3 linked regions of the Caenorhabditis elegans genome follow. The protein of the gene in region 2 purifies or fractionates together with the protein of the main gene of each other region. This does not show direct contact. Each region holds a gene or a part of one and is shown on either strand. Other genes may lie near its edges.

Evidence for each region.
Region 1: the proteins of F01F1.2 (region 2) and F56C3.10 fractionate together in Caenorhabditis elegans (co-fractionation; one large-scale study listed by BioGRID). This does not show direct contact.
Region 3: the proteins of F01F1.2 (region 2) and cox-4 fractionate together in Caenorhabditis elegans (co-fractionation; one large-scale study listed by BioGRID). This does not show direct contact.

What each region holds. Positions count from the first base shown.
Region 1 is NC_003284.9:1,380,867-1,383,360, forward strand, and holds F56C3.10 (Ovule protein), read right to left. Parts: upstream 800-2,494; coding exon 509-799; downstream 1-508.
Region 2 is NC_003281.10:5,876,831-5,879,946, reverse strand, and holds F01F1.2 (COX assembly mitochondrial protein), read right to left. Parts: upstream 1,394-3,116; 5' UTR 1,389-1,393; coding exon 1,244-1,388; intron 1,188-1,243; coding exon 1,083-1,187; intron 1,012-1,082; coding exon 918-1,011; intron 873-917; coding exon 731-872; 3' UTR 532-730; downstream 1-531. Other genes in the region: hpo-10 (SAC3/GANP/THP3 conserved domain-containing protein), read right to left, coding at 18-102, 332-336; mig-21 (Abnormal cell migration protein 21), read left to right, coding at 1,695-1,859, 1,909-2,153, 2,198-2,316, 2,373-2,471, 2,614-2,927.
Region 3 is NC_003279.8:13,657,663-13,660,982, forward strand, and holds cox-4 (Cytochrome c oxidase subunit 4), read right to left. Parts: upstream 1,467-3,320; 5' UTR 1,450-1,466; coding exon 1,318-1,449; intron 1,267-1,317; coding exon 1,137-1,266; intron 1,086-1,136; coding exon 820-1,085; 3' UTR 509-819; downstream 1-508. Other genes in the region: sac-2 (SAC domain-containing protein), read left to right, coding at 1-140, 187-477.

The DNA of each region.
Region 1 (2,494 bases), on a different chromosome or scaffold from region 2:
CCAAAGCTGACAATTGCCGATATCAAAAGGCCTGATGCGGACCTGAAATACATATTCAACTACTGGCAACAGTTATCAAAGTTGCCGGTCGATTTCAGTAGCGCTGATGCTAGCTCTAGTGGTATTAGTAACTGTATGCATTAGTTGGACTTCCGTTGATTTCAATGCAAAATTTAACATCTGCGACTTTTTTCGCACACCACCAAAAAAAAACCTAGAATATTACACACTTTCAAAGACTTTATTAGGGTTTTTTTGGATGAAATTTGTTAAAAACAGGTAATTCATATATACAAAATTCAGGAAGAAAATCTAGGTTTAACCCACCAAAAAATATTAAAAAGTGGCAAAATTGGGCAATTTATTGTAAAAAGTCACAATTTTGAAACTCCTGTAAAATGACTAATTTTATAGCTAGAGGGCTCAAAATTTATCTCCAAACCCTAAAAATTGCCCTTTTTCAAAATATAATAGTTTCTAACGTTCACCCAAAAAAAAACCCACATATTTAATGTCCACCATCAGCTGAGGATTGCTTAGATTTGGTGTCTTCTTGGCTTTTCGGTGGCTGAGCTTTTGGAAAGTCGATCATCATCGCTGCCCAACGTTTGGATTGAGATTTGGATTCCGGTGGAATTTGAGATGTTGACGGAACTTTTTTGGGTGCCGGGACTGACGAACTAGTTGAGATGTTTTTCAAAGCTTCTCGAGCCATTCTCTCTTCATACATGAGAGTTTGAATACGGCATATCTCTTCGGCATCCTTCACAAGCTGTTCCATTGTCTTTTTTGGGGGCATCTGGAAAAGTAAAGTTGGGAAAAATCGTAAAAATAAAATTGAAAACCTGAAAAATGAACCGAAGTGCATACTCATTGTGCCCCCTGGGATTGCTTCGTTGGTGGTTGCTAGGTATTATATCCAGATATCACTGTTGTCGTTGAATCAGAATTTTAGAGTAATGACAAATTCATTAACGTAGGGAGTTGGATTTTATAAACCGACTAATGTAAGGGATCGCGAGAATATTTATCGAGGTGAATCTGGTCGCAATTATTAATAATATTGATTGATTAATAATTATTCCGTATCACTTTTTTGACAATGCTTAAAATGAATTATACAATTACCTAGAACAACCATTCAAACCGAAAACAAAAGAAACCATATTTTGAACCAGGGCTGGCGGCAAAATACTTTTTCCGGCAAACTGGCACATTGCCTAAATTTAAAATTTCCGGCAAACTCGGCGAATCGGCAATTTGCGACACATTTTTGGCAAGTTATAGTTTTGTACCTAATTTTTGGAAATTTCAGAAATTCAATTTTAATCGACAAAATTGTACGAATTTTCTATGAAAATATCTTTTAAAAAACGGGGAAAAATTTTCAAAAAGGTACAGTTTTAAGTGTTTCCGTCATATAAAAAATTCCCTCAAAACACTTTCAAAAAATTGATATCCGGCAAATGGCAAATCGGCAATTTGCCGAAAATTAAAATTTCAGAAAAAACGGCAAACCGGCAAATTGCCGTTTTCGGTCAGTCAGCAGACCGGCAATTCGCCGATTTGCCAAACGGCAATTGCCGCCCACCCCTGGTTTAAACTACCAAAACTACCACTTCAGGATCCTCAAGAAGTCGTCTTCCTCAACTGCACCTAACATACTATGACCGTTTCAAAGATATCACCTTGTTATAATTGAAGTCACGACAAAACAGTACCTTTAAAAAAATCAGCGACATCGATCCAGCCGTGACTTGATATAAGAAAGATTAATACTGAGCCCTCCGTAATTTGTACCTCCTCTGTTTTTTTTAGTTACTATAATATTACAATCAATACACGTGGTGTCAGAATGTCTCACTGCGGTTTGATCTACAAAAAATGCGGGAATATTTTTCCAGAAAATTTGTGACGTCAGCTCCAGGGGTGTGCGGATAACCGATTTTTTCGGCTAACGGATAAATCGGCTAATGCCGATTTTTTGAGAACCGGCTAACGGCTAATTCGGCTAACGGCTAATTTCAAAATTTTCGGCTAACGGATAATTCGGCTAATCTCAGTCATTCAAATCGGCTAATTTTCGGCTAATTCGGCTAATTCGGAAAATATTCATTTGGTTAAGCTTTTTTTGTTCATTCTGTTAATTCAGGTTTTGGGTTAATTTTTCACTGTTATTGAGCAAATTCAGGGATGAACGACTGTTCAAATAGGAAAAAATCATACAAATTCACCACATTTCGTTTTCCAAAAAAATATGTTAGTTGAATTAGCCGAAATAGCCGATCGGCGAATTCGGCTGACATCGGCCAAAATCGGCTAACGGATAACTACGTATTAGCCGAACTGCCAAAAAGTCGGCTAACGGCTAATTTGGCTAATCGGTAAAAAGGTCGGCTAACGGATAATTCGGCTAATATTAGCCGAGTTAGCCGAATTAGCCGATCGGCTAATTCGGCTAAATCGGCTATTATCCGCACACCCCTGGTCAGCT
Region 2 (3,116 bases):
ATGAAATATTTACAAACCTTCATTAATGCTTCATTCGCTTTTTTCCAAGCTTCGGAATTTGCTCCTGTCTCCATTGGCACTGGAATTGACATAACTTCTTCTCTGTAAAGAAAAAGAAGAACTGAAGGAGATTAGGAAAAATCAATAATATTCGACAAAAAAAGTTCACGTCGAAAAGTTAATTCCAAATTAGCATTTATTTAGTACTTTAGTTTGAAAAAATGGTGCTGCCTACTTTTTTAAATAGCAACTATTTAATTTTTAGTTATTTTTGTGCGAAACATATCGACTTCGAACATCACATTCAGAATTAAAAAAGAAAATAACGAACCCCATATCTGAAATAGAACAGACAGAAATAACTATTTAGCAGAAAATTTTCAATTTTGCGTACAACGTTAAAAGAGTAAAATCAATAAAGTTTAACGGACCAGCGTTTTCGTAGTTTACTGGCAACTAAACAGAGCGCGTATCGATTTTCAACGGAGCGTCGTTGCACTATTATATTCTCTGGCAAAAATAAAATGTAAAGTGAAAGAATAATTCATGAATTAACGAGTTTTTGGAAATAATATTTTTAGAATGAAGAAATGGTAAGAATATGAGATAATATATAGTGACTCGAACACTTGACAATAATAACTATAAAAAGTATAAAAACCAGAAGAAATGGATTGTATTTGATTCTACAAACAAGGAAACAATTAACTATGAAAAACAAGAAAGAATTCTACTTTTGCTCATTTGTCTTCTTCCAATCCCGAAACTCTTCAATTTTCCGTTGCTGCGATGTCATTCCAGTAGCTCGAGCTGCCGATCGTTCCGCAATGTACTCGTCAGTCATTTTTGCTCGGAAGGCTGGATCGTGGAATCTTAATATGTTCTTGTTATTTTGAGATACATTAAAATAACCAGACTTTTCATATTTGCATCGATTAAAGAGTTCTAGAGCTGGTTTACACGTGTTCAAGCCAGAAACAGCACCGTCGGTTCGAAAGCAAGTGATGAGTCCTGAAATTGTTGTAGAAATAGAACTCTATATAATCGTGCTTTTATTTTTATGATTTCAATAATTCACAAACCTAAATAAGATTCGTTGCAATCCACTCTTTCGATTTGGGTATTCATTCTATTCGGAATAATCACATCTGCCTCGATTTTCCTCAAAGTCCGATCTTCTGGATCACCTGAAAACAAATATTGTATTTAAATGGTAAAAACCGCAAGCTGATTTAAAAATTACCTAATCCATGTGGTCCTCCAGCTGAATAATGTGGCATAATATTTTTCTTGACACGATATTTCTTCCCGGTCTTCTCGTCTGTCACAATTTCGCCTTCCTTTAAGGTTTCCAGGTTATCAGTGATATTCACTTTATTTTCCGTCATTCTAGCTGTAAATTTGAAAATTTATAAATGGAAATTTCAAGAGAAATCATGAGATTTACTAGTTTTAAAAGTTAAAATGATAGCGCCCGAGAAACAAAAAAAAAAGATCTTTGCCGTCTCTTATCTCTCACGCGTAGCAATGGAGCGCGACTCTAACACTGCAAAAAGTGAAATTTTCTACAGTAACCCTGCCATCTGGCGACATCTGAAAGATGGAAAAGGAGAAGGAATGTCGAAATCTGAAAAGAGAAACAAACATGGGTGTAGAAATTTCACTTATTCAGTAAGAACTGAGTTTCATAGAAAATGATTGTCATGGTTTTGTTTAATATCTTCGTTTTCGTCAATTTCTCATATTCGTTGGCTAATTTAAATGATTCTAGCATTTTATATTCTCAAGTTGTCTCTAATAAGTGTGCATCTAATAATGGTATATTCTGTGAATGTTCGAAACAAGGCGGAGAAATTAAGGTTCTACATTCAAAAAGATAAAAACCAATTCAATAAAATTTTGATGCAGATTTGGAATTGCATCCGTCCAGGAGGTTGGTCAACGTGGTCAAAATGGTCGAAATGTAGAGAAGGTATCCGAAAAAGAAGACGAACGTGTAATAATCCTTTACCAATTGGTACCACTTGTTCTGGCCAGAAAGTTGAGAAGCAATCTTGTGCAATTTCTTCAAATGTACCGGAGTATCTTTTTGGATCCTGGACATCCTGGAATCCATGGTCTCGATGCGATTGTGATCGTAGCCTGAGGATACGGTAGGTTCAAACAATTGGGAAATGTACAGTAACCCAAGTTTCAGAACTCGGCACTGCAAAGGTAATTCCTGCGAGGGATGTGACAAGGATTACGAAGATTGCCGCCCAGATGAGTGTCCAATTAGTAAAAAATGGTCCGAATGGACAGATTGGGTGAATTATGGTATGGGTCTCATTACGCTGAAATATATCAACAAATTTGTAATGATTTAATTTCAGGAATTGAGCAAGTACGGTTTTCAGCCTGGTGTTCGTCATCAAACGTGGCGAATACTGAAGTGGGAATACGGAAGGAGACTCAAGACTCAATGAAGCATGGTATTAATTTTAGTTAAAAAATTTCGAAGAACCATAACTTGAAGACTAAATTTGAAAGTTTCAAAGTACAATGTCCACTTTACTGTCTAAATTTTTGTGTTAGTTAACAACATGATAAAAAATTAATGAGAATAATTTCCAGCCAACTGGTCTGAATGGCATATGCATCCAGGAGTTGCATACCGTTATCGTCTTCTTCACAACTCTTCTATTTCCATCGAACACCATCTCTTATCAAGATTCACGTCATCATGTCTTCCCTTGCATTTTGCAATTCCAATATTTTGTTTTTGTATTCTCACGGGTTTCCTTCTTCAAAATATTATTTATTGTGTTGTGAATCGTTTTAAAAGGAGATTCATAAGATTGAATTATTCGTATGATTCAAATCCACGTGACTATCCTTCTCATTTGATTCGTTCTCCGGGTTCCCCGAAAGATGAAAGTTTTTGGTGAATTTCGGATGCTTTCGAGAACAGTCTCTGTCTGCCCATTTCTCACGCCACGATAATAAAAGTTATCATTGATCTGTACAACGAATACTCTGAGTGAGGTGTTTTTAATTCTTATCACTTCAACTCTTCAGTTTTAAGACTGAAATTCTAAAGAAAAAACATCAGAATTAATTATACTTTTAAAGAGAGG
Region 3 (3,320 bases), on a different chromosome or scaffold from region 2:
TATTTAATAATACTGCAATCCGTCTGAAATCCTTGGAAGAAGCCAATGAGTATATTTCGTCGGTCGCTGAGCAGATTCAGGTTGGCAGGAATATGCTGACTGGCGCTGAAGGTTCAGTTGTTCCGGTGGCAAAGATTACGGTTTGGGTGGCTTGAGATTTTCAAAATCTAGAATTAGAAGTTTCAGATCCCTCAAATGTCGGTTCATAGAAAATCGATGGCTGCGATGGGTGCACTGTTCGGGAAGATCAAGCGAGTTGGGAAGCCATCCAGTCTATCGAAAAGTGCTTCCACAATTTCAACTGCTCAACTTCCAGAAACCGATGGAAACGAATCGGACGCATCGCAAAAATCGGATCACTTAATGACGAAAATCCTGAAAATGTCACAATTTAAATCAGATTCTCCCCAACCCGAACCATTTTCCTCGCTACTACCCGCTATCTCCGAGTGTCAAACTAAAATTTCACTTTTGTAAAGAAATAAATAAATTATTGCCTCCTGGATTTAACAGCAACATTCAATCTATTTATTTCTGGTTTACAGGGCAGCCCATCTCTCAAGAAGCCGAACCACTTGGAAAATTTGAAGAAAAAATTGGGGGAGACGAAAGAATTGGTCAGTGCGTTCGACCGCTAGGAGAGATTTACAGCTTATCTAGGTTTCAGATGAGGGTTGGGGCGATGAAGAAGAAGGTAAGCTTGAATGTTTGACGAGAGAGTGATGGGGCGGGGGGAGCGACGACAACCAAGAGAGAATTATAAAAACGAGAAAGAAGCTACAAAAAAATTTTATTTTATTTCTGCTGAATCTCTATATTTTACTTCCACTTCTTGTTCTCGTAATCGTAGTGTGTCGGTGCACCGAGGAATTGTCCCTTCTCGAGCACAAGCGCACGCTCAACCTGAGCCTCCTTGTACTCGTTCTGGAAGGTTGGCGGCAGTTCTGGGTACACGCAGACGTTGAGAAGAACAGCATAATAGGTGCAAAGTCCGAGCACGGAGAGGATAACGGCGGAGATCACCTTCCAGTATCCGGTTGGAGCCTCGAATTCGGACAGCGTTTGACGGAAGCTGTAGCGGTACACTGAAAACTTAGCAACATTTTCAAGTTTGTCGAGGAAAATTGAATACTAACAGAGCTTCTTCTCCTCAGCAGACAAGTTCTTCCAGTCGGCTTGCTCCTTGGCGCGAATTGGGGCAATCACACTGTCCTCCTTGCGGAATCGAATAGCTGGATACCAGTAGTCGAGACGATCTTGGTAGATCTGAAAAATAAATTAATTAAATTTAAAATTTATAAAATAAACAAGGCGTACGTTATCTCCATTTGCTCCGTATCCGACGAGCTCGCGTCCAGCGGCCTTATCGGGTCCCCAGTAGAATTCCTGTCCTCCGGACAGACGGGCGGTGGTGTGCACTGCGCGGAGAGCCAAACGTGGCAGCATCATTTGACGAGCCAACATACCTGAAATAAATAACTGGTTTATGGGTTGAAAATGCAGGAAAAACCAAAAAACAAAAGGTAAATCCGGCGTCAGTGTGGAGAAATGAAAAAAACATACTCAAATGAACTATTTTCATAATAAAAATGAATTTCTAAAGTAATTTCTAAAGTGGCCGACGGAAAACACCGATGGAAACGTGGAAGAGGATAGTTTTAGTCAGAAACGAACAAACAACAGAACACACGGGTGCAATATATTAATAATCAAAAACCGTTCTCTCTTCGTGTTTTAAGGATTAAACTAGCCGGAATACGAACAAACGATGGAAATATGTGGTTCCTTTTAATTTTTGCATAAAACTTGGCAAAATCTCCAGAAAAATCAATAAATTGGCAATGTAACAACGGCTCGCCGTTGCGGGCTGTTCACTCCGTAAATCGTGTTGACTGAGTAATCAACGTTTTACACGCGTTCAAGTACGCAGCCAATTGAGTCCAATAGAGCGCTCTTGCTTTTTGAATCTTTTGGGTGAAAAATTGAGAAAAACTTTTTATAAAAAAATTTATAAGCTCAGGCTTTGGATTTTCGCTTTTTGCGTCGAAAAATCGCCTCTACGGTGCTGGAATTAATAATCGGTGGGATTTTCGCAGGAAATTCTCTGGAAAAATCGATAAATTGGCGATTTTGGCCCAAAAACTCTGAAAAACGCTGGATTTTTCTGAAAAAGGGCTTTAAATTTGTCAAGATGAGCGGAAGAATCTGAAAAATCGATTAAAAAACTCAAGAAACTGGAAAAAAATCGAAAAAATCAGTTTTATTGCGTTTTTAAATGAGTTTTCCCAAAAAAATTGGAAAAAATACGATTTTTCATTGAAAAATTGAATAAAAATACAAAAATTAGGGGGTTTCTCATTATTTTTCCGAAAAATCGATAAAACGTTGCCAAAAAGCTTCAAAAAGCAGATTTTTAGCAGTTTTTCACTGAAAATCCTCAAAAATCCCGACTTTTCCGAGAAAAAACAACGAAAATTCGATAATTTCTTCCCAAAACCCTTTTTTTCTAATTTCTCACAGAAAATTCTCAAAATTTAAAAATCTACCTATTTTAAACAATTTTTCTGAAAAATTTGAGAAATTTCATGTTTTTCGCCAAAAAAAAGCCATTTTTTTACGAAAAAGTGCTCTAAAAAATCGATTTTTCAGCGAAAAATCAAAAAAAAAACAGCTGTTTTTATTGATTTTTTTTCCCTAATAATTGTAAAAAATACCAAAAAACCCTCAAAAATCACGAATTTAGCTTCCAGATCGGTGGCCAATTGACGAATATCAACAAATATCAGGATTATTATATATCCGCAAAGAAAATCAATATTCCCGGCGACGAAATTCTCGAGATTTCGTCCGGTAGAGCGCACTCGCTGATTCGAACCAATTTGGGCGTTTTTGCGATTGGTGATAATAATTTTGGGCAATGTGGACGGAATCCTGAGAATATGGATTATGTTGTGGGCTCTGAAGGTACAATATTTGGGATTTTTAGCTAAAACTAAGGCTTTTAGGCTTTTAGAGCAGCTTTTAGACCCCAAAAAAGCTGAAAATCGAGCTCAGCGTAGTTTTTTACCCCAACACTGCAACTTTTTCCTCACGAGGGACGAGGAAAAGTGGTTTCTAGGCCATGGCCGAGGGGCCGACAAGTTTCAGCGGCCATTTATCTTGCTTTTTTTCCGCGTGTTTTCTTTCGTTTTTCACAGCTTTTTCCCGTTTTTTCTTAATAAAACTGATAAATAAATATTTTTTGCAGATGCTAAAACAATTTCCAAGTAAAAAAATCATGTATTCAGTGGGCAAGCAGCGGTGAAAGTGGGCATTGTAAT